4 linked regions of the Saccharomyces cerevisiae S288C genome follow. Changing the gene in region 3 together with the main gene of any one other region gives a genetic interaction. Each region holds a gene or a part of one and is shown on either strand. Other genes may lie near its edges.

The links.
Region 1: mutations in YGR237C (region 3) and WRS1 together harm fitness more than expected from each alone (negative genetic interaction), as found in Saccharomyces cerevisiae (one large-scale study listed by BioGRID).
Region 2: mutations in YGR237C (region 3) and UNG1 together harm fitness less than expected from each alone (positive genetic interaction), as found in Saccharomyces cerevisiae (one large-scale study listed by BioGRID).
Region 4: mutations in YGR237C (region 3) and SYM1 together harm fitness less than expected from each alone (positive genetic interaction), as found in Saccharomyces cerevisiae (one large-scale study listed by BioGRID).

The regions. Positions count from the first base shown.
Region 1 is NC_001147.6:131,268-139,344, reverse strand, and holds WRS1 (tryptophan--tRNA ligase WRS1), read left to right. Parts: upstream 1-1,519; coding exon 1,520-2,818; downstream 2,819-8,077. Other genes in the region: HMI1 (ATP-dependent 3'-5' DNA helicase), read left to right, coding at 1-118; COQ3 (hexaprenyldihydroxybenzoate methyltransferase), read left to right, coding at 300-1,238; YOL097W-A (uncharacterized protein), read right to left, coding at 2,940-3,125; SDD3 (Sdd3p), read left to right, coding at 3,507-6,620; serine/threonine protein kinase PKH2, read right to left, coding at 6,863-8,077.
Region 2 is NC_001145.3:228,762-233,164, reverse strand, and holds UNG1 (uracil-DNA glycosylase), read left to right. Parts: upstream 1-2,351; coding exon 2,352-3,431; downstream 3,432-4,403. Other genes in the region: YML020W (uncharacterized protein), read right to left, coding at 22-2,016; adenine phosphoribosyltransferase APT1, read right to left, coding at 3,665-4,228. UniProt on the Saccharomyces cerevisiae protein: Excises uracil residues from the DNA which can arise as a result of misincorporation of dUMP residues by DNA polymerase or due to deamination of cytosine. Not involved in strand-directed mismatch repair.
Region 3 is NC_001139.9:962,692-972,063, reverse strand, and holds YGR237C (uncharacterized protein), read left to right. Parts: upstream 1-6,408; coding exon 6,409-8,766; downstream 8,767-9,372. Other genes in the region: PFK1 (6-phosphofructokinase subunit alpha), read left to right, coding at 1-1,293; PEX21 (Pex21p), read left to right, coding at 2,011-2,877; KEL2 (Kel2p), read left to right, coding at 3,377-6,025; SPG1 (Spg1p), read left to right, coding at 9,247-9,372.
Region 4 is NC_001144.5:637,447-645,098, forward strand, and holds SYM1 (ethanol metabolism protein), read left to right. Parts: upstream 1-4,017; coding exon 4,018-4,611; downstream 4,612-7,652. Other genes in the region: YEF3 (translation elongation factor EF-3), read left to right, coding at 1-2,468; nucleobindin SSP120, read left to right, coding at 2,871-3,575; CQD2 (Cqd2p), read left to right, coding at 5,181-6,890; NDL1 (Ndl1p), read right to left, coding at 6,958-7,527. UniProt on the Saccharomyces cerevisiae protein: May be involved in cellular response to stress. Required to maintain mitochondrial DNA (mtDNA) integrity and stability. Required for ethanol metabolism and tolerance during heat shock.

The sequences.
Region 1 (8,077 bases), on a different chromosome or scaffold from region 3:
CGTTAAGGTGACACATGGTTATAATGTGCAGCGATACAATCAGTTACGTAAAAATTTTGGATTTTATAGAGCATATTCTTCACTAAGAGGTTGTAAGAGCGTTTTCAGACGTATATAGAATAGTTTTTTACTTACCTTTCATAATGTATTATCACCCTTTTACATAATACAAGTTTTAGAAGCAGATATTTTTATTTTTTTCATTTCCATTGTTCAAAAAGAGGGATGGTAAAGTATGCTAAAAGGCATACAAAACAATTAAAGGGAAACAGGTACAGCGAAGTCTTATGGGATTCATAATGTTGTTAAGATCTAGATTTTTGAAGGTTATTCATGTGAGGAAACAATTGAGCGCCTGTTCAAGATTTGCAATTCAAACACAAACGAGATGTAAGAGCACAGATGCTTCTGAAGATGAAGTGAAGCATTTCCAGGAGCTAGCCCCTACTTGGTGGGATACAGACGGATCACAAAGAATTCTACACAAAATGAATCTAACTAGGTTAGATTTTGTGCAGAGGACTGTGAGGAACCAGGTTAAAATTCAGAATCCTGAAATATTTGTCCCTGGATTTAATTACAAGGAGTTTCTACCAGAATACGTCTGCGACAATATTCAGCGGGAAATGCAGGAAAGCATAGAGACTAATCTAGATAAGAGGCCAGAAGTGAGCGTCTTGGATGTTGGATGCGGTGGTGGCATTTTGAGTGAATCGCTCGCGAGACTAAAATGGGTGAAGAATGTTCAAGGGATCGATCTGACTCGCGATTGTATCATGGTAGCAAAAGAGCATGCCAAGAAAGACCCCATGCTGGAGGGAAAGATAAATTATGAGTGCAAGGCTCTGGAGGATGTTACTGGACAATTTGATATTATCACCTGTATGGAAATGCTAGAGCACGTGGATATGCCTAGTGAAATTTTAAGGCATTGTTGGTCGAGGTTAAATCCCGAAAAAGGTATACTCTTTTTAAGTACTATAAACAGAGATCTCATCTCATGGTTTACTACAATTTTTATGGGTGAAAACGTCTTGAAGATCGTCCCAAAGGGTACTCATCATTTGAGCAAATACATAAACTCAAAGGAAATCCTTGCCTGGTTCAATGACAACTACAGTGGCCAATTTCGCTTGTTGGATCTCAAGGGGACCATGTACCTCCCATATCAAGGGTGGGTTGAGCACGATTGTTCCGATGTCGGTAATTATTTTATGGCTATTCAGAGACTGAATTGAAATCAAACGAAAAGTAGGTATCTGACTGTAAATATCTTCTTATATAAATATATATATATACACTTTTTCACGTACAGCATGAGTTCAAAAAGCAATGGCATGGTCCTGCGTTTATTAAATGATGTATCCTTTTCAAGACGCCAGTAATTTATTCAATACAGTATCTCTTTTCCGCTTATAATGGAAAAGAGAGAAAAAAGATCAAAACGTTGAAAAATTTTTTTTAGTCATTGAGGTATCAGAAATAAAACTCAATAACAAAAAATAGTCGTAGAACAACGATGAGCAACGACGAAACTGTAGAGAAAGTCACCCAACAAGTGTCGGAACTAAAAAGCACAGATGTTAAAGAGCAAGTAGTTACACCTTGGGATGTGGAAGGTGGGGTTGATGAACAAGGTAGAGCCCAAAATATTGATTACGACAAATTGATCAAACAATTCGGTACTAAGCCGGTCAACGAAGAAACCCTGAAGAGATTCAAGCAAGTGACGGGTCGTGAACCACATCATTTTTTGCGTAAGGGATTGTTTTTCAGTGAGCGTGACTTCACTAAAATATTAGACCTTTACGAACAAGGCAAACCATTTTTCCTATACACTGGTAGAGGTCCTTCGAGCGATTCTATGCACTTGGGTCATATGATCCCTTTTGTCTTCACCAAATGGTTACAGGAAGTGTTTGACGTACCATTAGTCATAGAGTTGACAGATGACGAAAAATTTTTATTCAAACACAAGTTGACCATCAATGACGTTAAGAATTTTGCCCGTGAAAATGCCAAGGATATCATTGCTGTTGGCTTTGATCCAAAGAACACCTTTATCTTTTCTGATTTGCAATACATGGGTGGTGCATTTTACGAAACTGTAGTAAGAGTTTCCAGACAAATTACAGGATCCACTGCAAAGGCTGTTTTCGGGTTTAATGACTCCGACTGTATTGGTAAGTTCCATTTTGCCTCCATTCAAATTGCTACCGCATTCCCAAGCTCATTTCCTAATGTGTTAGGCTTGCCTGATAAGACACCATGTTTGATTCCATGTGCAATTGACCAAGATCCATATTTCAGAGTTTGTAGGGATGTCGCGGATAAATTGAAGTACTCCAAACCTGCTTTGCTTCATTCCAGATTCTTTCCAGCTTTGCAAGGTTCCACGACCAAAATGTCAGCCTCTGATGATACCACTGCCATTTTCATGACCGATACACCAAAGCAAATTCAAAAGAAAATTAACAAGTACGCATTCAGCGGTGGTCAAGTGTCCGCCGACCTACATAGAGAATTAGGTGGTAATCCCGATGTCGATGTTGCATACCAATACTTGTCATTTTTCAAGGATGACGATGTTTTCTTGAAGGAATGCTATGACAAATATAAGTCCGGTGAATTACTATCAGGTGAAATGAAGAAACTGTGTATCGAGACTCTGCAAGAATTCGTTAAGGCGTTCCAGGAACGCAGAGCTCAGGTGGACGAAGAGACCTTGGACAAATTCATGGTCCCACATAAGTTGGTTTGGGGCGAAAAGGAAAGACTTGTCGCACCTAAGCCAAAAACTAAGCAAGAAAAGAAGTAAGTAGTCACGCTTATTCTGACGCTATTATATACAATGATATAGAATCCGAAATTGTAGTTTAACACTAAAAAAATAATGCAATAGAACAATAGTGTTGCGATGTCTCCTGACCTCACTATTTCTATAGATTGGTATGAAAAATTTTTTTTTCAAATATATGGGAAAAATTTTTCACGGCATATAAAAGACTACCATCTTTCTGCATCAGTGTGCCAGACCCATTCTCACACCAAGAAGCGAGGAAGCTAACAGGCCAGTACTTGCAGGTTAGGTTTTCGTGCTCAGATGAGCAGATCATGGACTGCATTGTGCTGTTGTTGCACAGTAAATTTTGTATACCATACTTTATGATGATATTCTTTACGAACTTTTAGACGTTAGACTTCTGAAGGAGATTAGACCCTCCTATGGAAGAGAAACTCGTTAAACTTATCTGAGTAGGTATGTGTATATGCGTCTCTTGTATTATACAAATGTTCTTATTTCTTGTCCTGCATTTTTCCGAGTATTGGTAAATTCATGTAAATTTTTCATCCCATAGATCGTAATTTTGAAGTAGTGGCAAAAGATTTTAACAGAGCGTAAGATATAGTGAGAGAAACTACTCGCTGAAAAGTTGAAAGTGACCCAAAAAACGGCACGAAGACCAATTATACGCACTTTCAACACAGTTCGTCGAATCTTCACAATGGGGTTCAAGAAGCTCGTATCATTCCAACCGGATTATGTCCCACAATACCATATAACTAAATATATCTCGGAACGAACTAAACTGCAACTGGTACATATAAACCACAAAACCTCCCCATTGGTTCACGGTTACTTTGCTGTTCCTACAGAATGTCTTAATGATTCAGGTGCTCCGCATACCTTGGAGCATTTGATCTTCATGGGTTCTAAATCTTACCCATACAAAGGTTTATTAGACACAGCTGGTAATCTGTCTTTGTCTAACACCAATGCTTGGACTGATACCGACCAAACTGTTTATACATTAAGCAGTGCTGGCTGGAAGGGATTCTCAAAGTTGCTACCTGCTTATCTAGATCACATCCTACATCCAACTTTAACAGACGAGGCTTGTTTAACTGAGGTTTATCACATCGACCCGGAAAATTTGGGTGATAAAGGTGTGGTATTTAGTGAAATGGAAGCCATTGAAACTCAGGGCTGGTACATTTCAGGGTTAGAAAAGCAGCGATTAATGTTTCCTGAAGGAAGTGGCTATCGGTCAGAAACTGGTGGGCTAACGAAAAATTTAAGAACCTTAACCAACGACGAAATCAGACAATTTCACAAATCTCTGTATTCTTCTGATAATCTTTGTGTCATTGTTTGTGGTAACGTACCAACAGATGAACTGTTAACCGTCATGGAAGAATGGGATAACAAATTGCCGGAGATTCCATCGAATATACCAAAGAAAAGACCATTTTTGGACAACAAGCTTTCGCACATACCGCAATCTAGAGATAAAGTTACGGAATCTACTGTAGAATTTCCTGAACTTGATGAAAGTCAGGGTGAATTACTCTTTTCTTGGATTGGTGTTCCCTACTCAGATTTTCGTAATGACCTAGCGGTTGATGTGCTATTAGATTACTTTACTGACTCTGCATTGGCAGTGTTTACAAGAGAACTGGTTGAAATTGACGATCCCATGGCAAATTCCACTGATTGTTGCACTGATTATTTCATGAGAACCATAATTGATCTTCGTATCCAAGGTGTCCCAACAGAAAAAATAGCAGCAACAAAGACCAAGGTACTGGAGATTTTGAAAACCCATACCATTGATTTATCAAGAGTTAGACAGGTAGTTGAAAATACTAAATGGGAATATTTGCTGAACTATGAAAAAAATGGCGAGAGTCGTTTTTCTAGTGCTGTGATTACCGACTATATTTATGGTAATGAAGATGGTTCTTCATTAGTGTCTTCTCTCAAGGATTTAAGTGATTTTGATGCTTTATTACAATGGTCCCAAAAGGACTGGCAATCTTTGCTGAACAGAATATTCGTAGACAACAAACCTATCATAGTTACCGCTAAACCAAGCGCTTTGATGTATGAACAACTAGAGAAAGAAAAATCGGATTTGATCAAACAAAGAGAAGCTGAATTTGATGATGAAAAGAAACTGGTTTTATTGAAAAGATTGAACAATGCAAAAAATATTAATGATAGGCCAATTCCGAAATCTCTACTACAGAAATTTGAGATTGATAATCCTTCAAAGAGTGTTGAATTTGTCAACACGAAAAGCATTGCAACTGTCGATTCGTATAAATACAATAATGTTAGTGATCCGCTGACCAAAAAAATTTTAGAAACGAGGCCAGACAATTTTCCTCTTTTCATTCACTTAAATCATTTCCCGTCTCAATTTATAGAGCTGCATTTTTTGGTCAACTCCGCATCTATTAAGGATACCTCGCTTTTACCATATTTTAATATGTTTGACGAGCTATTTTCCATGCCAATGAAAATCCTTGATGAGGAGAGTAATGTAGAAACTATGCTCTCGTTTGAGGAAGTTGTCGCCAAGTTAAAATCAGAAACTATTGACGCACAGATCAACCAAGGTTTGAAGGGTTCTTGTCCTGACCTTATTAATTTTAAAATTCAATGTAGAGCTGGGGGTTACTCTAACTCTGTTCAATGGATCAAGCACTGCCTATTTGACATGGTTTTTGATGAAAATCGTGTTCGTATTCTGCTGGAGAATTATTTGAATTCTATTGTAGAATGGAAAAGAAATGGTAATGTTATGTTAAGTTCTTTAACTAACAGAAATCTCTATTCGGCAAGATCGCTGAAAAAATCCACCGATCCATTATTTGTTGAAGCAAAATTACAAGAGATTTTTGCAGAAATTGAGAATGGCAACTTTGAGAAAGAAATTTTGCCAAGAATAGAAACAATGAGAAAGCAACTGAGAGCAAATTTCAACAAGTTTCATATTTTGGTTCTTGGTGACATCTCAAAGATCGATGACGTTTATGAACCATGGAATCCCTTAATTAAGTGCTTGAACATTGCACATCCAGTTGAGAAGTTAAAAATTCCACCAGTTCCAAGAGCCCTAGATACCATTTCATCGATTTGCAGAACACCTGGTGAAAAGGCCTTTATAATAACTACTCCCGCCTCAGAATCTGCTTATATGAATCTAATAACGTCTATCCCATTTAACTTGGACTACCATGATCCCGAATACGCTATTGTCTCATTGGCTTCCGAATATCTAGAATGTGTTGAAGGTCCATTTTGGAAGGGAATCCGTGGTGCCGGATTGGCCTATGGTGCCAGCATGTTAAAATTATGTGAGATAAATTCTTGGGGATTCAATATTTACCGCGGCGCTGATATTATTAAATGTTATGAAGTTGGAAAACAGATTGTTCAAGATTATGCATCAGGTGCCTTGGAATTTGATGAGCAGTTAATCCAAGGTGCCATCAGTAGTATTATTAACAGGCTGGCTACTATCGAATGCGGATACTTTGAAACAGCCCTGTCCAAATATGTTGATGAATTCTGTTTGCAAAGGGGGAACAACTTCAATGAATTGTATTTGGAAAGGTTGCAGAATGTTACCAAAACAGATCTGAAAAATGCCATGCAGAAATATTTTGTCAACATGTTTGATTCCAATAAAAGCGTTGCCTTTGTGAGCTGTCATCCAGCTAAATTGGAATCAGTTCAAGAATTCTTTGAAACTCAAGGTTTCACTGTCGAAATAGAAGAGCTAGAAGATGACGATGACGAAATTGATAGTGAAGAAGACGAAAATGCGTGAGTACATGACCTCCATTTCAGCTTCACTTTCAACACAGAAACAGTGCGTATTATCTGCATTCAATAAATAGCAAAAGGAGCATTGTCTCATTCTTTTCGAATTCTGGGATTCTGCCTTACGGCGCTCTTTCATTTGATTGATCGAGAATTATTATTATATTTATATGAGTACTTGAAATTCCTCATATATTTATTTTTAGAGTATTTAAGTAGCTTGATGAAAACATTAGATAAAATTACTAATTACGACCTCTTCGATTTTGCAGATGAGTTTTTGAAATTTGTTCCTGTGTTTAGACCTAATCCCACGGTAACTTGTCTTTTTGGCAATCCGTTAACTAATTTACTGGTTAACGGTACTGGAGCAGCGTGTTTTTTTGAATTTTGTTCCTTGGCATTGATAAAGGTTTCAAAAATTCTGCTTGATCTGTTGCTCTTAGCGCTATTAATCGATTCAGAAAACGAATTGTGCTTTGAAATTGATGGAGATTGGCTATGCGTCCTGGGTTTTGGCGAAGGAGACTTGGAAGTTGGAAGATCTTTAGGTATGGCTCTTCCGGATGATGATGTTCTTCTTTCAATTACCTTTTGGTTTCTTTGCAACAGTTCTTTCTCTATTTTATTTGTATTCGAATTAAGAATTTTTTTGAGAACAGTAAACAATTTGCTCGTGGTTTTTTTATCAGTGCTCAAAAGAAATGACTTGTAAGGTGTCTGAATCACAACTATATGATTAGTTCCCATTTCCAAGGGAATGATTAGTTCTTTTATTTTGGTACCCTGTTGACGCAAATTTATGTCATATTCTAGTTCATACTTTAAATTTGTAACTGGATTTGGCTGCCTCCTCTTGGCAAATACTAGAAACCTTCCAAATGATGTCATTACAATGGTTCGTTTATAGTACTTGGTTTTTTCATCAGAGGAAGAGAGCGTTTCAGCTGCTGAGGTAGGGTGAAATAATTTTTTAATCTTGCCAGAAAAAACAGAGCTTCCTTTATTGTTAGATTCGGATTTATCATCGTCTTTCATTGGTGAGCTGTTTTGATTGCATTTGTACCCTTCTCCGCTTCTGTTAGTAAGCAACTCCGATAAGTCACCTCCTTCAATTCGATAATCATCTTCCAAGAGCTGCAAATCGATAATATTTTTCGAATAGTACGTATCTTCTGTTTTGGAATAAGCAGTCATAGTTGGATCATTTCGAAAACCTGTAACCTCTCCCCCACTCCTAGCTACTTGGGATAAAAAAGTATGTCTAGGCTTACCAAACAGTTGAGGATCTAACAATGAACCATTTAGTTTAAGCATTTTCTTCTCTAAGATATCGTAATTTGTGGTAACAAAATCCAGTTTTTCCGTCCTTAGTACATGTTCGTTGATGTTTTTCAGGTAAAAGGACCATTGAATATCTTGCTTGTTCATCAAGGGAGAATCTGTGCTATTTTTAACATTTTG
Region 2 (4,403 bases), on a different chromosome or scaffold from region 3:
TCATGCTGGATGTATTTTTTATCAGAGTCGATATTTCAAACCATTAAGCCTGTTTTTTATGTCCTTCAATTGCTTTGTCTCAGGCTCCCATTCCTCAAATTCCTTAAACAACATCTTGATTTCTTCATTACTGAAATGCTTGTTGGACTCGTACATCAATCCCCTCATACACCATGGCAGACGATAGGGGTTGGCTCCTAACTCAGACAATTTATATGGTGAGTACTCAATTGGATACATTTCGGACAAATCGGTTGTTTCTAATGCAAATTTGATGCCCAGATGGTAGACCTGTTTCTCATTATAAATGGTAGAGTGACCACCTCCTGTCAGGGTGCCCGCCAGAGATCCGCTTATTTCCTTTATGATTCCGTGATCGTTATAACCCAGGTTTAAGAGTGAACCAGCAATTTTAACTATGCGAGTGATAAATGCTGGAGTTTGTGATCCTCTATCAATAAAAATGGCCCGAAATATATTGGGATGGTTGGCAAAAAGACATGTGGATGAATACAGAGGGACCAGTTGATCATTGATGGATCCCACAAATGTAATCTTAACGTTATTTGATATGATTGTTCTTAGGCCTTCTATGAAGCTTTGCGATTGTTTGGAATCAAACTTTTGAAACTCGAATAACTCCCTCAATGAGTCTTTTTCAATCGTCTGGTAAGCACGAACAAACAAAGTTTGATCTGCACCGTAGAATGGACCATTATTGATACCTGCCATGGCCAAGACCGAGATAATTTTTTTGGACGAACAAAACTGAATTTCATCGTTGAAAAATTGAGAATTATCAAGGTTTATTATGCCGTTTTTGATCAGCTTCGCTAAAAGCATAATGGTTACCGGACACCCCTGCGAATGGCTAACAAAATAAATAAAATCAGAATTGTTTATTTCTTTGCTCCAATGCTTCATAACTTCGTAGAAGAAATCTACTCTATCAAATATCTCTCCTTCTCTTTCAAGAGCGATCTTGCTTATTTCAATGGGTACTTTATGTTGATCAAAATATTCCTTCACTATTTCCTCAGCTTCTGTGACAAACTTGGTAGATGTACCCGTTGGCTCACCAATAAACGGTCTAATAATTTTTGTTGGAAAGAACCCATGAACGCCGACAATGAGAACTCTGATGGGCCTAGATTGGTAATCTGATAGAAGGTTTATTTTTTTCCATGGATCAACCCTAAATAGAGATCCTCTGTTGTGTTCCAACCGCTCCTCATCTTTTGCCTCGTTTGCAACTGTGTTTGTTTCCTCTTTTAACTGATTTTGTGAGTGCTGCACCTGTTCTTCCCCCTCTCGTACCCTTGATGAAGGTCTTCTATCCCAGTATTCAGTCTTCCACTTCCAAATTGTGGATGTGACTGTATTCCATATGGTTTGTTTCGGTAAAATATCGAAACTTGGTACAACAATGTTAGGAAACTGATTGCCTATGTCATCTGTTAATTTCTTAGCAGTTTTGACACCTTTATCTCTGATCAATATAGCATCAGGTTTATAAGGTATGTAAGTGTTGGTTAGAGGAGCCGGATTTAGACTATTTGCTAAACGTGATAAAGTGTTATTATCCGCATCAGTGGGAATGTTATGCGTCGGCTCCGGATCTTTTTTGTTACGGCCCCAAAAGAATGGCCATGCTCGTGGTCTTGTGTTTTTTTCTACTATAGCTGCATTTCTGTCTTTTTTGTCCTTCTCACCCTTCTCGATCCTGGTGGTTTCCTTTAAAATCGTTGTTTGTTGATTATCGTGCAAGCGTGTTCCCTCATTTGAAACATTGTCATTTTCTTGACTGTTGTCTTGGGCGGTTTCCTTTCCTTTATTTTTATTAGATAACTCCGGTTCTTCCTCGTCATTACCTCCCCATATAGACCAGGATTTGGTTGTTCTGTGCTTAGGCTCACTAGGCCCCATACGACCAGACTGAGTATGTACTGAGCGCAGTGAGGTCGTTGAAGATTTCAGACTGCTTTTCGGCGAGGAATGCAATGGAGTCGTGACCATTCTACCTACTGGTACTCTGTATATAAGTCTCTTCCAATTCTTCGTAATGGTGTCTATTTGTAGTGCAAAAGTGCTATCCAAGAGCAGTGATAAGCCCACTATATGTATAAAGCCGAATCTAGTGACTGGTGGGAATAAAAAAGATAGTTTTCGAACTATTCTTATATGAACTTTCCATGGAATTACCTCACGTTGTTCACATTAGTGACTTGTAAAAAGCTTTACATATAAACTCAATATTTTCCCTATTGTCAAAACCTGGAATGTGTCCGCAACGCGTAATTCATCCATAATGATATATATTATCAGAAGCTGTACACAAGCCGTTCACATACATGTGGTGCATGAGAAGATTGCCAACAAATTCAGTTATGACGGTGGCTCGAAAGAGAAAGCAAACTACGATCGAAGACTTCTTTGGTACAAAGAAAAGCACTAATGAGGCGCCCAATAAGAAAGGTAAATCGGGCGCTACTTTCATGACCATAACAAATGGCGCAGCTATCAAGACAGAGACAAAGGCGGTCGCAAAGGAGGCAAACACGGACAAATATCCTGCTAATTCAAATGCAAAAGATGTATATTCGAAGAACTTGAGCAGCAATTTACGTACACTACTGTCGCTGGAGCTAGAAACGATTGATGATTCGTGGTTTCCACATTTAATGGATGAATTTAAAAAGCCATATTTTGTAAAGTTGAAACAGTTTGTCACTAAAGAGCAAGCTGATCATACAGTATTTCCGCCTGCAAAGGATATTTACTCATGGACCAGGCTAACGCCTTTTAATAAAGTTAAAGTCGTGATTATCGGTCAAGATCCCTACCACAACTTTAATCAGGCGCATGGCTTGGCTTTTAGCGTCAAACCCCCTACACCAGCACCACCGTCATTAAAGAACATATATAAGGAACTGAAGCAAGAGTATCCTGATTTTGTTGAAGATAATAAAGTGGGAGATTTAACTCACTGGGCTTCACAAGGGGTTTTATTGCTTAATACCTCGTTAACTGTAAGAGCACATAATGCAAACTCGCATTCTAAGCATGGTTGGGAAACTTTTACAAAAAGGGTAGTTCAGTTGTTGATCCAGGACAGAGAGGCCGACGGTAAGAGTTTAGTATTCCTCTTATGGGGGAACAATGCTATCAAATTAGTAGAGTCTCTGTTGGGATCTACTTCCGTTGGAAGCGGTAGTAAGTACCCTAATATCATGGTGATGAAGTCAGTGCATCCGTCTCCATTAAGTGCAAGTAGAGGATTTTTTGGTACCAACCATTTCAAAATGATAAACGATTGGCTATACAATACCCGCGGAGAGAAAATGATAGACTGGAGTGTTGTTCCTGGAACGTCATTAAGAGAAGTTCAGGAGGCAAATGCTCGCTTAGAGTCAGAATCAAAGGACCCTTGAATATTACTATTGCATATGCAGGTCTCGATTTCCAAACTCTTTAAAAGCATATAATAGATAAAAAACTAAATAGACTACTTTGTGGCACAAAGCAGAAAAGTGGATTGAATATTTTTCAATCTAAAAAGTAAATATTATACAACCAAATTGAGAGAGTAAGGAGAAGTAAGAAAAATAAATTGCTTGAAACCGGCAGAAAGGAAGCTTGAATATGGGTCAGGACGTGAAACATATCATTTTTTCAACGCTTCCTTTTGAGCGTTCAGTAAAGTGAACACTGGAGCATTCAACTTACTCCTGCCTTTCAAGAAATCCAACTCCATAACAAAGTTATATTCCAAAAGGTTGGCTTCGAGTTGTTCAACTAATTCGCCGGCTGCAGCAGCAGAACCACCAGTGGCAATAATGTCATCAACAATGATAACGTTGGAACCTGCTGGAATAGCGTTTTTCTGTATCTCAAAAAGATCAGAACCGTACTCCTTTTCGTACGTAGCCTTAAAACATTCGCCAGGTAGCTTACCTGCCTTCCTGACTGGAACGAAACCAACACCTAGGGCCAAAGCTAAAGTTGGTCCGAACAAGAACCCACGGGATTCCAACCCGACGATATAATCAATTTTAACTTCTGGAAAAGCTTCTTCTAAATGCAGTTTGAAAGCATCGATCAACTTCTGGAAAAGACCTGGGTTCCTGAAAATGGGTAAGAAATCTTCGAAGAGAATGCCTTCACTAGGGAAGTTTGGATATTGATGTAAAGCCAACTTCAACTCTTGGGCATAACTTGCTATAGACATGATTAGTAGGAATATTTGCGATAGATTTCTTTGAAGCAGGCAAAATGCGTGAAAATAGATTTTATGGATATTGAGTCAGACGCAAGATGCATTTTACCTTCCCAATGAGGTGAATTTATAATGCCAAAAATTTTTCATTGCGCGGCCCGATTTTTTCCCACATAGAGAGCCCTTC
Region 3 (9,372 bases):
GATAAGGCAATTTCTTTAAGAGACACAGAATTTATTGAACTTTACGAAAACTTCTTATCCACTACCGTTAAAGATGATGGTTCCGAATTATTGCCAGTATCTGACAGACTAAACATTGGTATTGTCCATGTTGGTGCCCCATCTGCTGCTTTGAACGCTGCCACCCGTGCCGCAACTCTATACTGTTTGTCTCACGGCCATAAACCATACGCTATCATGAATGGTTTCAGTGGATTGATTCAAACCGGTGAAGTGAAGGAACTATCATGGATTGATGTCGAAAACTGGCATAACTTGGGTGGTTCCGAAATCGGTACGAACAGATCTGTTGCTTCAGAAGATTTGGGTACCATTGCTTACTACTTCCAAAAGAACAAGCTAGACGGTTTGATTATTCTTGGTGGTTTTGAAGGTTTCAGGTCCTTGAAGCAATTGCGTGACGGTAGAACCCAACACCCAATCTTTAACATTCCAATGTGTTTGATTCCAGCCACTGTTTCTAACAACGTTCCAGGTACTGAATACTCACTTGGTGTTGATACCTGTTTGAACGCATTAGTCAATTACACTGATGACATCAAACAGAGTGCTTCTGCGACAAGAAGAAGAGTCTTCGTCTGTGAAGTCCAAGGTGGTCACTCTGGTTACATCGCTTCTTTCACTGGTTTAATCACTGGTGCTGTTTCAGTGTACACTCCAGAAAAGAAGATCGACTTAGCTTCTATCAGAGAAGATATAACTCTATTAAAAGAGAACTTTCGTCACGACAAAGGTGAAAACAGAAACGGTAAGCTATTGGTTAGAAACGAACAAGCTTCTAGCGTATATAGCACTCAATTGTTGGCTGACATCATCTCTGAAGCAAGCAAGGGTAAGTTTGGTGTTAGAACTGCTATCCCAGGCCATGTTCAACAAGGTGGTGTTCCATCTTCTAAAGACCGTGTCACCGCTTCCAGATTTGCTGTCAAATGTATCAAGTTTATCGAACAATGGAACAAGAAAAATGAAGCTTCTCCAAACACTGACGCTAAGGTTTTGAGATTCAAGTTCGATACTCACGGTGAAAAGGTACCAACTGTTGAGCACGAAGATGACTCTGCTGCTGTTATCTGTGTTAATGGTTCTCACGTTTCCTTCAAGCCAATTGCTAACCTTTGGGAAAACGAAACCAACGTTGAATTAAGAAAGGGTTTTGAAGTTCACTGGGCTGAATACAACAAGATTGGTGACATCCTGTCCGGTAGATTAAAGTTGAGAGCTGAGGTAGCCGCTTTAGCCGCTGAAAACAAATGAATGATTGCAATGAAAAGTTTAAGTTAAGCAAAAGGAGGTAAAAATGGCATGCACTTTAATTTTTATACAATCGTTTTTTTGTCATAAGACTTATTTATGTATCTGTTGTTTTTCTTTTTCTATCCTCTATTTTTGTCTATTTGTCTTTGTTTTACTCTTTTTCATTATTATTTCTTTATATAATTTTTGTACGATATGATACACATAACAATGAGCAATGAACATATTTCTAATCCTAACCATTAGATATACTTTTCAACTGAGGAATAATGGCGCCTTGATTAAACTAAGCTATGGAATTTGCATTATTCAAGTTTTAGGGTGTGCTTAATCTGCGTTGACAATGGTTCACGAAGACGACATCGGCAACTTTGCTGTACTACAAATTGCTCTGAATGTGAGGCTGATCCACATCATAGTGAGGCGCGCTACCTTAATTGTAGTCGTATTGTCATCGGTCTACGAATACCGTTTGGTTTATTTGTCGGCCTTTTTTCTTTCCGTTTCTTTTTATCTTTCCGCTGGAAAAATGGAAACTAGTGCCGATAATCGGAGATGGGATGACTAAATATTTCTTTAAGGCATTGGCAATGTTCAAACCTCTGATAGAACGGCAGATATATATTTAAGAGAATATAGTCAAGGTTGACGCCGCATACTTTGGTTTTGTTTCAAAAAGAAACAGGTGAAAAATTATAAAGACCAAACTAGAATACCATGCCCAGTGTCTGCCATACAAGCCCGATAGAAAAGATTATCCAACAAGGGCATCGCATACAGAATGATTCCTTAATACCGTCAAAACGCACCAAGCTGGCCCATACGGAATTAACAGCACACTATGCCACTGAAGACTCGCATGTGGAAAAACACTTTTTGCATAATGGTAGTAATTTTGACGGCATTGACAATGTAAGGTATCAAAATCAACCCTCTCCATTAACCTTCATTACTCCAAACAACACTGTAGATTCCAGTGATTGGGTTCCGCAGTTCTCGTCTATGAAGATTGACGATTCACTAGAGTTTAGCTCAGAATATAAAAGGTTGTATTCCAATTACGAGTCACAGCAGCGCCTGAATTCAAGCAGACAACACTTACCTTTTAAGAATTGTATGATAAGGAAGACAAGTTGCACTTACCCACCTCAAAAGACGCTTCGACAGCAACGCCAAGGAAACCGGGACAACCCAACGGATGCGTTTCAATTCGACGCGGAGTTCCAAGTTTTGGAGAGAGAAATTCAAAAAGAGCGGTACGAGCCCATAACACGTCGGGACGAGAAATGGTTCGACCAAGATCAGTCGGAACTGCAAAGGATTGCCACAGATATAGTAAAATGCTGTACTCCACCGCCTTCGTCTGCATCCTCCTCTTCTACTCTTTCCTCCTCTGTCGAATCAAAACTATCTGAGTCGAAGTTTATTCAGTTAATGAGAAACATTAGTAGCGGTGACGTGACTTTAAAGAAAAATGCAGATGGAAATTCCGCAAGCGAGTTATTCTCATCCAACAACGGGGAACTGGTCGGAAACAGGCACATTTTCGTCAAGGACGAAATTCACAAAGACATACTTGATTGATATAGGCAGTTTCTACAATTGTACCTCTTGTAACTACTACATACGTTGATATATGTTTACAGATAGCTAAGAATATCAAAATCATGAATATGTGCCCTTATGTGTTCTCTGCGCTGAGGAGTATCGCAGCTTCACTCCTGCAGATGCATGCCCTACCTACTGTCATGCCCATCTCTCTCGTTTAAAACTTACTACACCTTTTTTGTGCATGGATTGTGCTGATGTAAGCTGCACGAAATGACACGCTTGTGAATTTTTTCTTCTCTTGGGAGAAACTGTGAAGAAAAAAAAAAAAGCTTCGCAAAACCCGAATTAGTCTCGAAGGAAGTAATTACCTTGTGAAAGGGTCTTTTGGGATACTAATTTATTATGAAGTTTGGTTTTGGTGTTGCTTGCTCTTTTTTTTTTCAATTTTGAAATGCGTACACGTGAATTTTAGCATAGGTTGTAACAAAAAAAAAAAATGATTTGGATGAGGCAGGCAACCCCTTAAGTAGCTATGGTACCTTTCAAGCTGACAAATAAGGTACCTACGGACACGGGACCTTCTCTGATTTCAGCGCAAAGTGTACCCAGACCAATAGTTTTTATGGATAATCGAAACAATACGCGAATAGTAACACCTACGCTACCTCCAAACCAGCATAGAGGCATATCAGGCGCGTCGACTGCTCTTCCCTGGTCTCCAGAGAGTAAGAATACAGGGAAGTATATTTGGAATAGGGTCAAACTAAAAAACTCTCCGTTTCCCCGTTATCGACACTCTTCCTCATTTATTGTTACGAATGATAACAGGATTTTTGTGACCGGTGGACTTCACGATCAATCGGTATATGGGGATGTCTGGCAAATAGCCGCTAACGCGGATGGTACGAGCTTTACTTCCAAGAGAATCGATATTGATCAAAATACACCTCCCCCAAGAGTGGGACATGCCTCTACTATATGCGGTAATGCCTATGTTGTGTTTGGTGGCGACACACACAAGCTGAATAAGAACGGACTGTTGGATGATGATCTTTATCTTTTCAATATTAATTCTTATAAGTGGACCATACCACAACCTATCGGCCGTAGGCCGTTGGGCAGGTACGGCCATAAAATTTCTATAATTGCTAGCAACCCTATGCAAACTAAACTATATCTTTTTGGCGGACAAGTAGATGAAACTTATTTTAACGATCTGGTCGTCTTTGATTTATCATCATTCCGTAGGCCGAATTCTCATTGGGAATTTTTAGAGCCTGTCGGCGACCTGCCTCCTCCTTTAACAAATCATACAATGGTGGCATATGACAACAAATTATGGGTATTCGGCGGGGAAACTCCCAAGACAATAAGCAATGATACATACCGCTACGATCCAGCACAAAGTGAGTGGTCTAAAGTTAAAACCACAGGAGAAAAGCCTCCGCCAATACAAGAGCATGCTAGTGTGGTGTATAAACATTTAATGTGTGTGTTAGGCGGTAAGGATACCCATAACGCATATTCCAACGATGTCTATTTTTTAAACTTATTATCGCTAAAATGGTATAAGCTTCCCCGTATGAAGGAGGGCATACCTCAAGAACGCTCTGGACATTCTTTAACCTTAATGAAGAATGAGAAGCTTCTTATCATGGGTGGCGACAAAACTGACTATGCCAGCCCAAATATTCACGATCTACAAACTTCAGAAACTGACCAAGGCGAAGGAACTTTACTGTATACCTTAGATTTATCATCTTTGAATGAGCTATGCCCAGGAATAATGTGTGAATCACTACATGCAGGAGAAAGTTTTTCTAATAGTCTTTCCGGGGGCTTTACACCCTCTAAGTCTACCGAAAGTGAAAATCAAGAGATAATAAACATTCTTACACCAAGATTGCCTGATAGCAAAGTTTTGAGTTATAATGATATTGATGAAGGGGCTGGAAGTTACTCCAGCGCTTTGGATGATAAGGCATTTGAACGAAAATCAGATAGGGAGGAAAAGAAACCCCAATCTTCCAAAGTTGATTCAAGCATCAATAAGGAAAGTCCGGGAACTGGTATCAAAGTATCTAAAAAAAATTTCCCTGTTCTACGAGGACTAACAGTGGATTCAGAAGAGTATGGCTCTTCTTCATATAAGGACACATCATGTCAAAAAGGAATTCCCAAAAATCTTTTTGATGATTTAAACCTGAACCTACAAACATTACGTCTCGAAGCTCAACAAAAGGAACTTGAAACTGCTAGACATATTTCACAATTAGAAAAGGAAGTCCAGAGACTCATGGTAATAAAAGAAGCTTCAAAAGATTCAAATTTTCAAACAGCACGGCTTAAAAATCTAGAAATTCAGAAAACCTTTTTAGAATCTAGAATTAATGATTTAAAAAATTTATTGATGGTCAAATTATCTCAGGCAAGTAAACTCTGTGACCAAATTACGATTCAAAATAATGGACTTAAAACATGCTCCGAACATGTCACTATTAAAAGGGATATCATCGATCTTGAGAATAAATGTGATGTTTTGAAGCGCCAGAACGAAATACTTGTAAATAATATGCAAAAAATAACCCCCGAACTTCATACCTATTTGAACGAATCGTCCTGCTATCTGGGTAAATTATTAAAAAGCTATCCTACCAGTGCACGGCCACCTTCAAGTGAGAAAGATAATCAAATATATGAGAAAGATTCGCTGAACAAAATAGAAAAAGTAATAAATGAAATGCACGAAACCGTGCGTGCTAAAGAGAAATTGCACCTTGAAACTCAGAAGCTTAATGATGAAAGAGATTCTTTGCGGGCTAATTTACTCGACAATAACAACAAGTTGGATGCGCTAAGAAAACTCTCTGATGGAAGCTCGAAGTCTATGGACCTAACAAAGAAGGCTATTCACCTATCACAATCCGAGCTCGAAAAATATCGTAAAAACAACGACGATTTACAGAAGGAGATTGATAGAATTAAAACTGAACAAGCTGAACAGGATGACAAGCAGGAACAGCGTGGCGCCATCACTCATGGAAATTTTGATGCGTTCCACAGAATGAAAATCAACAATCTGAAAGCGGAACTGTATATGTCGAAAGAAAATAGAGATTCCCTCAAGGACGAACTGCTAGCTTTAAAAAAAAAACTATATACTCTCGAACAAAAAAAATAGTCATTGGAAGACGTTGTTACGCACTGGGAAGTCAATATGTACAAAGTATATAAAAATATATTTAAACACCTATAAGGACATTGTAAACATTAAGTATTAATAGAAGGAGAATATAATTGCCAACTAAGCCTTTTGAGGTTAATATTCAATGGTGCAAAATTAGTAGCCGCGGTTATTATTATTCGCCGGGTAAAGAGCCCGCTTTTCTAGGGGGATTTTAGGTGAGCATGCCTCTAGAAAGCCAGAAGGACCCTTAACGAAGCGAAACTGTTCAGAAGAATGAATAAAAAGACACATTGAAAAAAAGAATATTGTCGCACTGTACATAAGGGAGAAGCTGTAATCCCTGGCAAACTGCTAATATCTAATAAAAATAATAGAAGATGTCATCTGCAAAGACATTTACTAAGCATATCTCGTTTGATGATCTGGCACCTTCCTTAATTGATGACCAAGCTACCATTATTAAAAATGACAGTCACCATGTTGGCTTGAATAATCATTTTTTACATATACCTCCACAATTTAATCCTGTTTACAAAAATACTTTGACCGGTAGCCATGGCTCTAATGACCTTGCCACTGACGAAAGCTTGGACTCACCCGAAGACGAAGAAGCTTCTTCGCCACTACAACTAGGAACTCCAACGTCTACAACATCTGGAGTTCCTCACTTCTATACTCAGGTATTTTCTCCTGCAGCACATGATCCCTCCAAAAGCTATTTGAGATCGCCCAGCGTTGAAAGAAGTAGAAGTGAGTCTCCAATGTTCAGGTCAAGAAGAAGGACTTCAGTGAGGTTGCCTCCCCCTCCAAAAGTATCCGTGCTAAAAAAATCTCGAAAAGCTGCTGATGAACAGGGCCCTATTGATGATATTGATATTGGTGATTTGGATTTTGAGCTGGAAAGAAAAATGACCAAAATGACCGAAAGAAACACTCAAAAAAATTCTGGATCAAGGAAAGGCTATACGCAAGCTGCATTTGCCAATCTTAATGAAGTTGAAGATAGAATTGAGACCAAGTCAATGGTAGATTTATCCGAAAGCGAAAATATGGAGAGCTCAAAGAAAAGGTCCAAGTCGTTTGCCGGGATGACAGACGAAGAATTAGCCAAATTAGAGGAATTTTATATAAGTAAAGGAAGATCGAACAAGACTAAAATAGATCAATTTGATTTTGGTGAGCAAGTTCCAGTCTATTTGAACACAACAGAGTCAAAAACGGATTCAAGCAACGTGACGGACCCTTTAGCAGCAATTTATCCATCAAGGCCTACAATTGTTCACAATGCAATTTCAATGACAATTGATCATCCAGACTATGAAAATTATATTTCCAATACAAAAGAAAAGCTCAATTGCAAAGACAAAGATGACGATGTAGATTTAAGAGTTGTTTCGTGTTATATATCAGGTAGGAGATATACTTGGTCATCTGTGGACTGGTATGTTGAAAATTTGACAAGAAATGGTGATCATTTAGTCATAATTACTACAATTCCTGAGTTTGAAGCAAAGATTGATACTCTAGCATATAAGGAGAAAAGAAGGCACCGCTTAGAAAGGATGACTAGCAATACTAGTGAAAGCATGACTACCGCGTCACATAGCCTTATAGGCCCGGATCTCTCTAGTCCTTTATCAACGGGAATAAGAATAGAAGCTATTCATAATGAGGCTAAGCAAACTTGTAGCGATATTTTAAATTACTACGCGAGAAGATTGGCAACTAAAATAGTTAGGATTAGTATTGAGATGGTAAAAGAAAATTCAACAAGATCAGCCATAATATCTGCGACCTCTCTGTATAGGCCAAGTTTGCAAGTAATCAGCACCGTTAGTGCCAACATTCAAATCAAGTTTAGAAATGGAAAAGTGAAACTACCATTTTTTTTAATGAAACACTTTGCAATGCCAGCATTTGTTGTCCCATTCGAATTCATCAAGCCTGAGCTTTTAATAAAACCTAGAGTGGATAAAGATGAACAGGACAACAGCGATGATTTGAAAACGGAAGTGAGAAAAAAGGAACGATTGCAATGGCTAAGTGCATTAATCAGGAGAACTTTGGAAAACCCTTTCACAAAACATAAAGTGGTTGATTCGGATGATGAAGAAAGCGATAGTGATGAGTCAGTAACCTCTGTAAATGAGTACTTCCCAATCTCACCTGAAAAAAAGGAAGAAATGGAATTCTTCGATAAGATGGGATATGTTAGACCAAAACCGTCGAGACAAGTACTATTGGATGATAACACTCTTATGAAGTACGACAGTTCTGGCCGAAAGCTAACTCCTATAGAATCGAGAAATTCGAGGCGCAGCTCAAAGCGGAGTTCAAGAATACAATTCAACAATAACGGCATTTATAAAGTAAAGTCCATGGTTGATGACATTTACAACCACGAAACTGCCTCTACGCCTCATATCAAGACAGCACTAAAATGGGACAATGAGGATCCGAAAATGAAGTTCACTTCACATCCAATGAGAAAAACAAAATCCGCAGGGCTATCACCCAGAACATCCTCCACTTCATCTTCTTCAGGACAGAGAAAAGCGCATCACCACCACCATCACCACAACCACGTTTCAAGGACGAAAACTACCGAAAGCACCAAATCAGGCAACAGCAAAAAGGACAGTTCCTCATCCTCAACAAACGACCATCAATTTAAAAGGTCTGAAAAGAAGAAAAAAAGTAAATTTGGCTCGATCTTCAAAAAAGTTTTCGGATGAACCGGATTAATACAAGTAAAATCAGCAAAGATATAGAAGACAAAATAAGCGTGAAAACAATCATAAACCACTCACAACGGGGGTTTTCAGCTGTTACTCCTCCATACATACATTTTGATAAAGATATAATGTTATATTTCTTTTCGTAATTTTGTTTTACTTCGGTTTGCTCTATAGATTTCATCAGCCGCACCGAAAAGGGAGATCAATAAGGTACCCTTTAAAAGGGATAAGAAGCCTACATCACCCCAATAAATGGAGTAATGGCCAGCATTGGATGAAGAGAAGAATTACGGGATACTGGGATAACACTGTTAAAAATGCTTCGCGACGTGAGGGTCTTCTTCATATAAATTGAACTGCCAAATCTCTTTCACATTATCCAGGATAGTTTGGAATGTGTGTTACTGAAGGATCAGAATCAATAAATACAATCAATACAAATATTTAGCGCATAAAATTCAAACAAAGTTTACTGAAATGAAGTTAGATTCAGGAATATACTCAGAGGCACAAAGAGTTGTGAGAACTCCAAAGTTTAGATATATTATGTTAGGGCTGGTGGGCGCTGCTGTGGTACCGACCGCATACATGAGGAGAGGCTAT
Region 4 (7,652 bases), on a different chromosome or scaffold from region 3:
TTCCAGAAACCGTTCATTTGTTAGGTGCTACTACTTTCGTTGCTGAAGTTACTCCAGCTACTTTGTCCATCATGGTCCCATTGTTGTCCAGAGGTTTGAACGAAAGAGAAACCGGTATCAAGCGTAAGTCTGCTGTTATTATTGACAACATGTGTAAGTTGGTCGAAGACCCACAAGTTATTGCTCCTTTCTTGGGTAAATTGTTGCCAGGTTTGAAGAGTAACTTTGCTACCATTGCTGACCCAGAAGCCAGAGAAGTTACTTTGAGAGCTTTGAAGACTTTGAGAAGAGTTGGTAACGTTGGTGAAGACGATGCTATTCCAGAAGTTTCTCACGCTGGTGACGTTTCTACTACTTTGCAAGTCGTTAACGAATTGTTGAAGGACGAAACCGTTGCTCCAAGATTTAAGATTGTCGTCGAGTACATTGCCGCCATTGGTGCTGATTTGATCGATGAAAGAATCATTGACCAACAAGCTTGGTTCACCCACATCACCCCATACATGACTATCTTCTTGCACGAAAAGAAGGCCAAGGACATCTTGGACGAATTCAGAAAGAGAGCTGTCGACAACATTCCAGTTGGTCCAAACTTCGACGACGAAGAAGACGAAGGTGAAGACTTATGTAACTGTGAATTCTCTTTGGCTTATGGTGCTAAAATCTTGTTGAACAAGACCCAATTAAGATTGAAGAGAGCCAGAAGATATGGTATCTGTGGTCCAAACGGTTGTGGTAAGTCCACTTTAATGAGAGCTATTGCCAACGGTCAAGTTGATGGTTTCCCAACCCAAGAAGAATGTAGAACCGTCTACGTCGAACACGACATTGATGGTACTCACTCTGACACTTCCGTCTTGGATTTCGTTTTCGAATCTGGTGTTGGTACTAAAGAAGCTATCAAGGACAAATTGATTGAATTCGGTTTCACCGATGAAATGATTGCTATGCCAATCTCTGCTTTGTCTGGTGGTTGGAAGATGAAGTTGGCTCTAGCTAGAGCTGTGTTGAGAAATGCTGATATCTTGTTGTTAGATGAACCAACTAACCATTTGGATACCGTCAACGTTGCTTGGTTAGTTAACTACTTGAACACCTGTGGTATCACTTCTATCACTATTTCTCACGACTCCGTTTTCTTAGATAACGTCTGTGAATATATTATTAACTACGAAGGTTTGAAGTTGAGAAAGTACAAGGGTAACTTTACCGAATTCGTTAAGAAGTGTCCAGCTGCTAAGGCTTACGAAGAATTATCCAACACTGATTTGGAATTCAAGTTCCCAGAACCAGGTTACTTGGAAGGTGTTAAGACTAAGCAAAAGGCTATTGTCAAGGTTACCAACATGGAATTCCAATATCCAGGTACCTCTAAGCCACAAATCACTGACATTAACTTCCAATGTTCTTTGTCTTCCAGAATTGCTGTCATTGGTCCAAATGGTGCTGGTAAGTCTACTTTGATTAACGTCTTGACTGGTGAACTATTACCAACCTCTGGTGAAGTCTACACCCACGAAAATTGTCGTATCGCTTACATTAAGCAACACGCTTTTGCTCATATCGAATCTCATTTGGACAAGACTCCATCTGAATATATCCAATGGAGATTCCAAACCGGTGAAGATAGAGAAACCATGGACAGAGCTAACAGACAAATCAACGAAAACGATGCTGAAGCTATGAACAAGATCTTCAAGATTGAAGGTACCCCTAGAAGAATTGCCGGTATCCACTCCAGAAGAAAGTTCAAGAACACTTACGAATATGAATGTTCTTTCTTATTGGGTGAAAACATTGGTATGAAATCTGAAAGATGGGTTCCAATGATGTCCGTCGACAACGCTTGGATTCCAAGAGGTGAATTGGTTGAATCTCACTCTAAGATGGTTGCTGAAGTTGATATGAAGGAAGCTTTGGCTTCTGGTCAATTCCGTCCATTAACCAGAAAAGAAATTGAAGAACATTGTTCCATGTTGGGTTTGGACCCAGAAATTGTTTCTCACTCCAGAATTAGAGGTTTGTCTGGTGGTCAAAAGGTTAAGTTGGTCTTAGCTGCCGGTACATGGCAAAGACCTCACTTGATTGTCTTAGATGAACCTACCAACTATCTGGACAGAGATTCTTTGGGTGCTTTGTCTAAGGCTTTGAAGGAATTTGAAGGTGGTGTTATTATCATTACTCACTCTGCTGAATTCACAAAGAACTTGACTGAAGAAGTCTGGGCCGTCAAGGACGGTAGAATGACTCCATCTGGTCACAACTGGGTTAGTGGTCAAGGTGCTGGTCCAAGAATCGAAAAGAAGGAAGACGAAGAAGATAAATTCGATGCTATGGGTAACAAGATTGCCGGTGGTAAGAAGAAGAAGAAGTTGTCTTCTGCGGAATTGAGAAAGAAGAAGAAGGAAAGAATGAAGAAGAAGAAGGAATTGGGTGATGCTTACGTTTCTTCTGACGAAGAATTCTAATCTTTTTGATCACTGCTTTCACAGTTTTCTTTAAGATTTTTATTGATCAATAATTTATGTATATTTTAATTTCTATGTTTTTGTAATATTGTTTATTTTGGTAAAATATAGACGCAACTTCCTTATTATAAAGAAAGGCATTATTTAAAAGAAAAAGCGTTCCATTAGTCAGACATCTTTTTTTTTCATACATTCTTAAGCTCAGGCAAATTGAGCATTGCCTCATACCCTTTTCGGTAAGAGGGTAACGAAAATATTTTTTTGGAAGAATAAAAATAGGTGACGGATCATAGACTAGGAAGCTTTAAAACATGATTGAGCGTAATATTATATTCCTTCTAGAAAAGATAAAAGAGCCAAGACCTAAAATTTTTTCATCCCTGTTCTATTAAAATTGTGGAAATGAGGTTTTTGAGGGGATTTGTATTTTCTTTGGCTTTCACTCTATATAAAGTAACTGCCACGGCAGAAATAGGATCTGAAATTAATGTGGAAAATGAGGCACCACCTGATGGTTTATCCTGGGAGGAGTGGCATATGGACCATGAGCATCAGCTAAAAGATTACACTCCAGAGACTTTCTTCGCGTTACATGATATCAAGAAGAAAGGATTTTTAGATGAAAACGATATTCTATCTCTCTACGGGTTGAACCGTGAAGAAATTGTGGGGGCTGGTGATGGTATGGGACAACACGATGAATCTGAGAAAATTGACAATGAAATGGCTAAGCGTGTTGTTAGCCTTATTATGAGGTTATTGGATGTTGATGATAATACCAAAATCACCAAGGAGGAATATCTACAATTTGCTAAGAGAGGAAACAAGTTCCCTGACCTTGGCGTTGGTGTAGGTCACCACTCCGATTTTGAGCTAGAATATGAAATTCATCACTGGAATAAGTTTCATAAGGACAAAGATCCAGACGTTAAAGTCGTTCACAAAGAAGACATAGAACATGAATTGCTTCATCATGAACATGAAATTGAACATGAAGAAGAAATTCAAAGAGGCGCTTCTAGAGCTACTGTAATAACTGATGACGAACTAGAGTCTAGAATAGAGCTGAAAAATATTCCCGAGAAATTCAAAAATGGAATTTTTTAATGGACTTGGTCAAGATGAATAGTTGAGACTGAGAAAATATTCAAGACACTATGTATGTAGTCAATTAGCATGTAGTAAGTAATCAAAGCACTTAAAATATATTTTTACCATCGCATCGTTGTGATGCCTCTCCTTTGTGATTAACTATCTACTTTAAACGTTCTATTTTCTATGTTCTAATTACGTATGTATTGGTCTTTTCTCTCCGATGGTAACAAGAAGCGTTTCGGGAAACAGTGGCACCTCCTTGTCCCTTAAATGTCGAACTTTAACAGTATAAGTACAAAGTGAAAAAAAAAAAAAAATGGAAATATCTATGATAGTGATATGATAGAAGAGCTATTTGAATGCTATGTTGTCATATTTAGCCTTACAAAAGGGAAAAGGCAAACACAGTCTTTTGTTATTACTATAGGAAAGATAGAATTGATATTAAAACAGTATGAAGTTATTGCATTTATATGAAGCGAGCTTGAAGAGAAGGCCCAAAACTACGAATGCGATAATGACAGGTGCGCTATTTGGAATTGGTGATGTTTCTGCTCAATTGTTGTTTCCAACATCCAAAGTAAACAAGGGTTATGATTATAAAAGGACAGCTAGGGCTGTCATCTATGGTTCTTTAATTTTCTCCTTTATAGGTGACAAGTGGTACAAGATCTTGAACAACAAGATTTATATGCGTAACAGACCTCAGTACCACTGGTCTAATATGGTTTTACGGGTAGCTGTCGATCAATTGGCGTTTGCGCCGCTAGGTTTGCCATTTTATTTCACCTGTATGTCCATCATGGAAGGTAGATCATTTGACGTAGCTAAGTTGAAAATAAAAGAGCAATGGTGGCCTACACTTTTGACTAATTGGGCAGTTTGGCCACTTTTCCAAGCGATTAACTTTTCTGTTGTTCCTTTACAACATAGGTTACTAGCTGTTAATGTCGTTGCAATATTTTGGAACACTTACTTATCTTATAAAAACTCAAAGGTTATGGAGAAAGACAAGGTACCTGTTCATTATCCACCCGTGGTCGAATAACTGGATAAGAAATCCTGATTTTGAAAATATTTGGAATTCAACTAGCATATTTATCAGACCTTGTTCCTTGGGGTACTGGAACAGCATATACCTAATAGACTTTCGGCAGAGAGCAGACCAACTTCATAAATATTTGAGTCACCAAAGTTGGCTAGCAATCTGCTTTTCCTTTACAGATGTGCTTGGTCAGGAACAATTTATTTAATTACATTCGTACTTCTTTTATAGAGGAAATAGTAGCTAACATTTCACTATTGCGGTCATGCCTGTTGTTCTTCAGCTACCGTTTATGCAAAGGTGTTTAATTAGGTGTGAGACTTAAGTGGGCCTTTTAGTACCACTGTGGGTTCTGGACCTTTATATAATATTTCATTTTTTCAAAGGTTTTTTCATATGCCGTTAAAAGAGGTCAAAACATAGACCCGAGGAACATATCTTGTAAATCGCTGCGTTATGTATGCATATTGTACTCCTACCTTCGTAACTGGAAAGAATCAGTCTGAAAGTTTATTGAGCCTGAAACGGAGCAAGATTATAGTTGAATGTTTCTTATTCGGTGTTGATAGTAGATGATGACCAAAGCTTTTTTTAACAAACTACCGTTTGAGGTATTCCGTCGGTACGTTAGGACAGGTAAAAGCATCCCTCAAAGAAGCCCCAGGACAAGAAAATCTCTTCTGGTGGGTGGGACTATTGCATCAGCAGTAGTTTTGTACAACTTTAATGACACTTTTCATGATTCTGTAAAGCACACGGCACTGACGACTAAAAGAATCGCTGTCGTCACACAAGCTACCACTCGTTGCTTCTACCATTACAAGAGGGCTCTAAATAAAAGCTATGAGAACAAAAAAGAACGAGAAGTTGCCTTAAATAAATGTCATAAGATGTGTGCCTTAATCACGTTGCATGCGCTACGATCGAATGGTGGGATATATATCAAATTAGGCCAGCACATTGGGGCCATGACCTACCTGTTGCCTAAAGAATGGACGGATACAATGATACCGTTGCAAGACCACTGTCCCGAATCCACCTACGAAGAAATTGATGAGTTATTTAAAGAAGATCTAGGCACCAGCATTGAGGATATGTTTTTAGAATTCAACAAAACCCCGATAGGTGTAGCTTCCTTGGCACAGGTTCATGTGGCAAAACTAAAAAATAGTGACGGTAAAGGTTCTAGTGTAGCTGTCAAATGTCAGCATCCATCGTTGAAGGAGTTTATACCATTAGATGTTATGCTGACAAGAACAGTGTTTGAACTGCTGGATGTCTTCTTCCCTGATTATCCGTTAACGTGGCTTGGTGATGAGCTTCAGTCTTCAATCTACGTGGAACTGAATTTTACCAAAGAAGCTGAAAATGCAGAAAAAACCCGTCATTATTTTAGTAAGTTCAAGAAGCAAACAGCATTGAAAATACCCAAGGTCATTGAAAGCCACAAAAGAATTTTGATTATGGAATATGTTGGAGGCAAAAGGTTGGATGATTTGGAGTACATTGACAGTCACGGTATCTCGCGCAGTGAAGTTTCGAGTTGTCTCTCTCATATTTTCAATAACATGATTTTTACTCCCAATGTAGGTATTCATTGTGATCCTCATGGAGGAAATCTGGCCATACGATCTGTTAAGCCCGCTAAAGATAATGGATACCATAACTTTGAAATTGTTTTATTTGACCACGGACTCTATAGATATCCTAGCACGAGAACAAGAAGACTTTATGCCAAATTTTGGTTGTCGCTCCTATTCGACAAGGACCAGACAAAAATGAAGAAGTATGCCAAAGGATTCGCAAACATCACCGACGAACAGTTTCCCCTTTTAGCGGCTGCAATTACGGGCCGTAGCATTGATGCTGCTTTGAATTACGACATTTCAACGAGTCGAACACAAGAAGAAATGGACGTCATGGCAAATGGGATCTTGGAAGGAACGTTACTGAGCGACTTGATGAGCATTTTGTCTAGAATCCCTCGTGTAGTGCTTTTGATATTGAAGACTAACGACCTAACCAGACATCTTGATGAATGTCTACAGAATCCACTCGGGCCAGAGAGGACTTTCCTGATCATGACGCAATACTGCGCCAAGACGGTCTACGACGAAAAAGTGGAAAGAATTAATTCGGAGTATGCGAGGTGGTCTATTAAATGGATGTGGGAGAACTTGACAAACTGGATAGTCTATGAGAGGCGTATTAATCAATTGTATTTTTATGATTTTGTGTTGTGGTGGAAAAAATTTATTCCGAAGACTTGGTTGTCATCTTAAATCGTTAGCGTTCTTTCTACTTGTAAATATATACGTAAAATTATATATAACAATTTTATATGTGTCATTAAACGGAAGACGTTGTTGCTATCACAGTGGATTGTGTTATTTGGGTATTTGGAATATTACAGTGACTTCTTGCAGCGTTGTTAGTTTTTGCCATGTTCTGCAAGTACAAGGTTGAAGATGTGGTCGAGACTTTGATAGTATCCTTAAACAACTTCATTTTTTTATTTTGACTGGGTAACGACCTGGTGTTCCTTCTAGTCTCACCGCTAGTGGCTTCTTCTTTGCTGACTCTTAACTTTTGCAGCGCCTCTTTGGTGTCGAGTAACTCGTGTTCCAGTAGAACGTTGCGTTCCAGTCGTCGGTCACTCTCCAATTGTAATGTCTCTATCTTATTCCTCAGTTGGATATTTTCATTTTCCAACTCATCTACCTGTATCTCTAAATCTGTTATCTGTTTCTTATTGCACTTATTTTGTTGTTGGCTCTCAAGAAGATCGCTTTTTAACTTTGATATTACTTGTTCCAAATCATTTTCATATTCTTTCGTGGCGCCTTCAAGCTCGCTCAACTGGGTCTCCAGTGAGGAGATTATCTGTATAGCTGTTTCCAAATCCAAATTCGGCACCATAGGAAAGTCGCAATTGTTGCACGTATATGTCCCTTGGATATTCCAATTAAATTTGCGAGGATTGTTCTTTCGGCCGTTCGTGGTTTGTTGTAGCCCTTATTATCCCTCTTTTTCATCCTTAATTG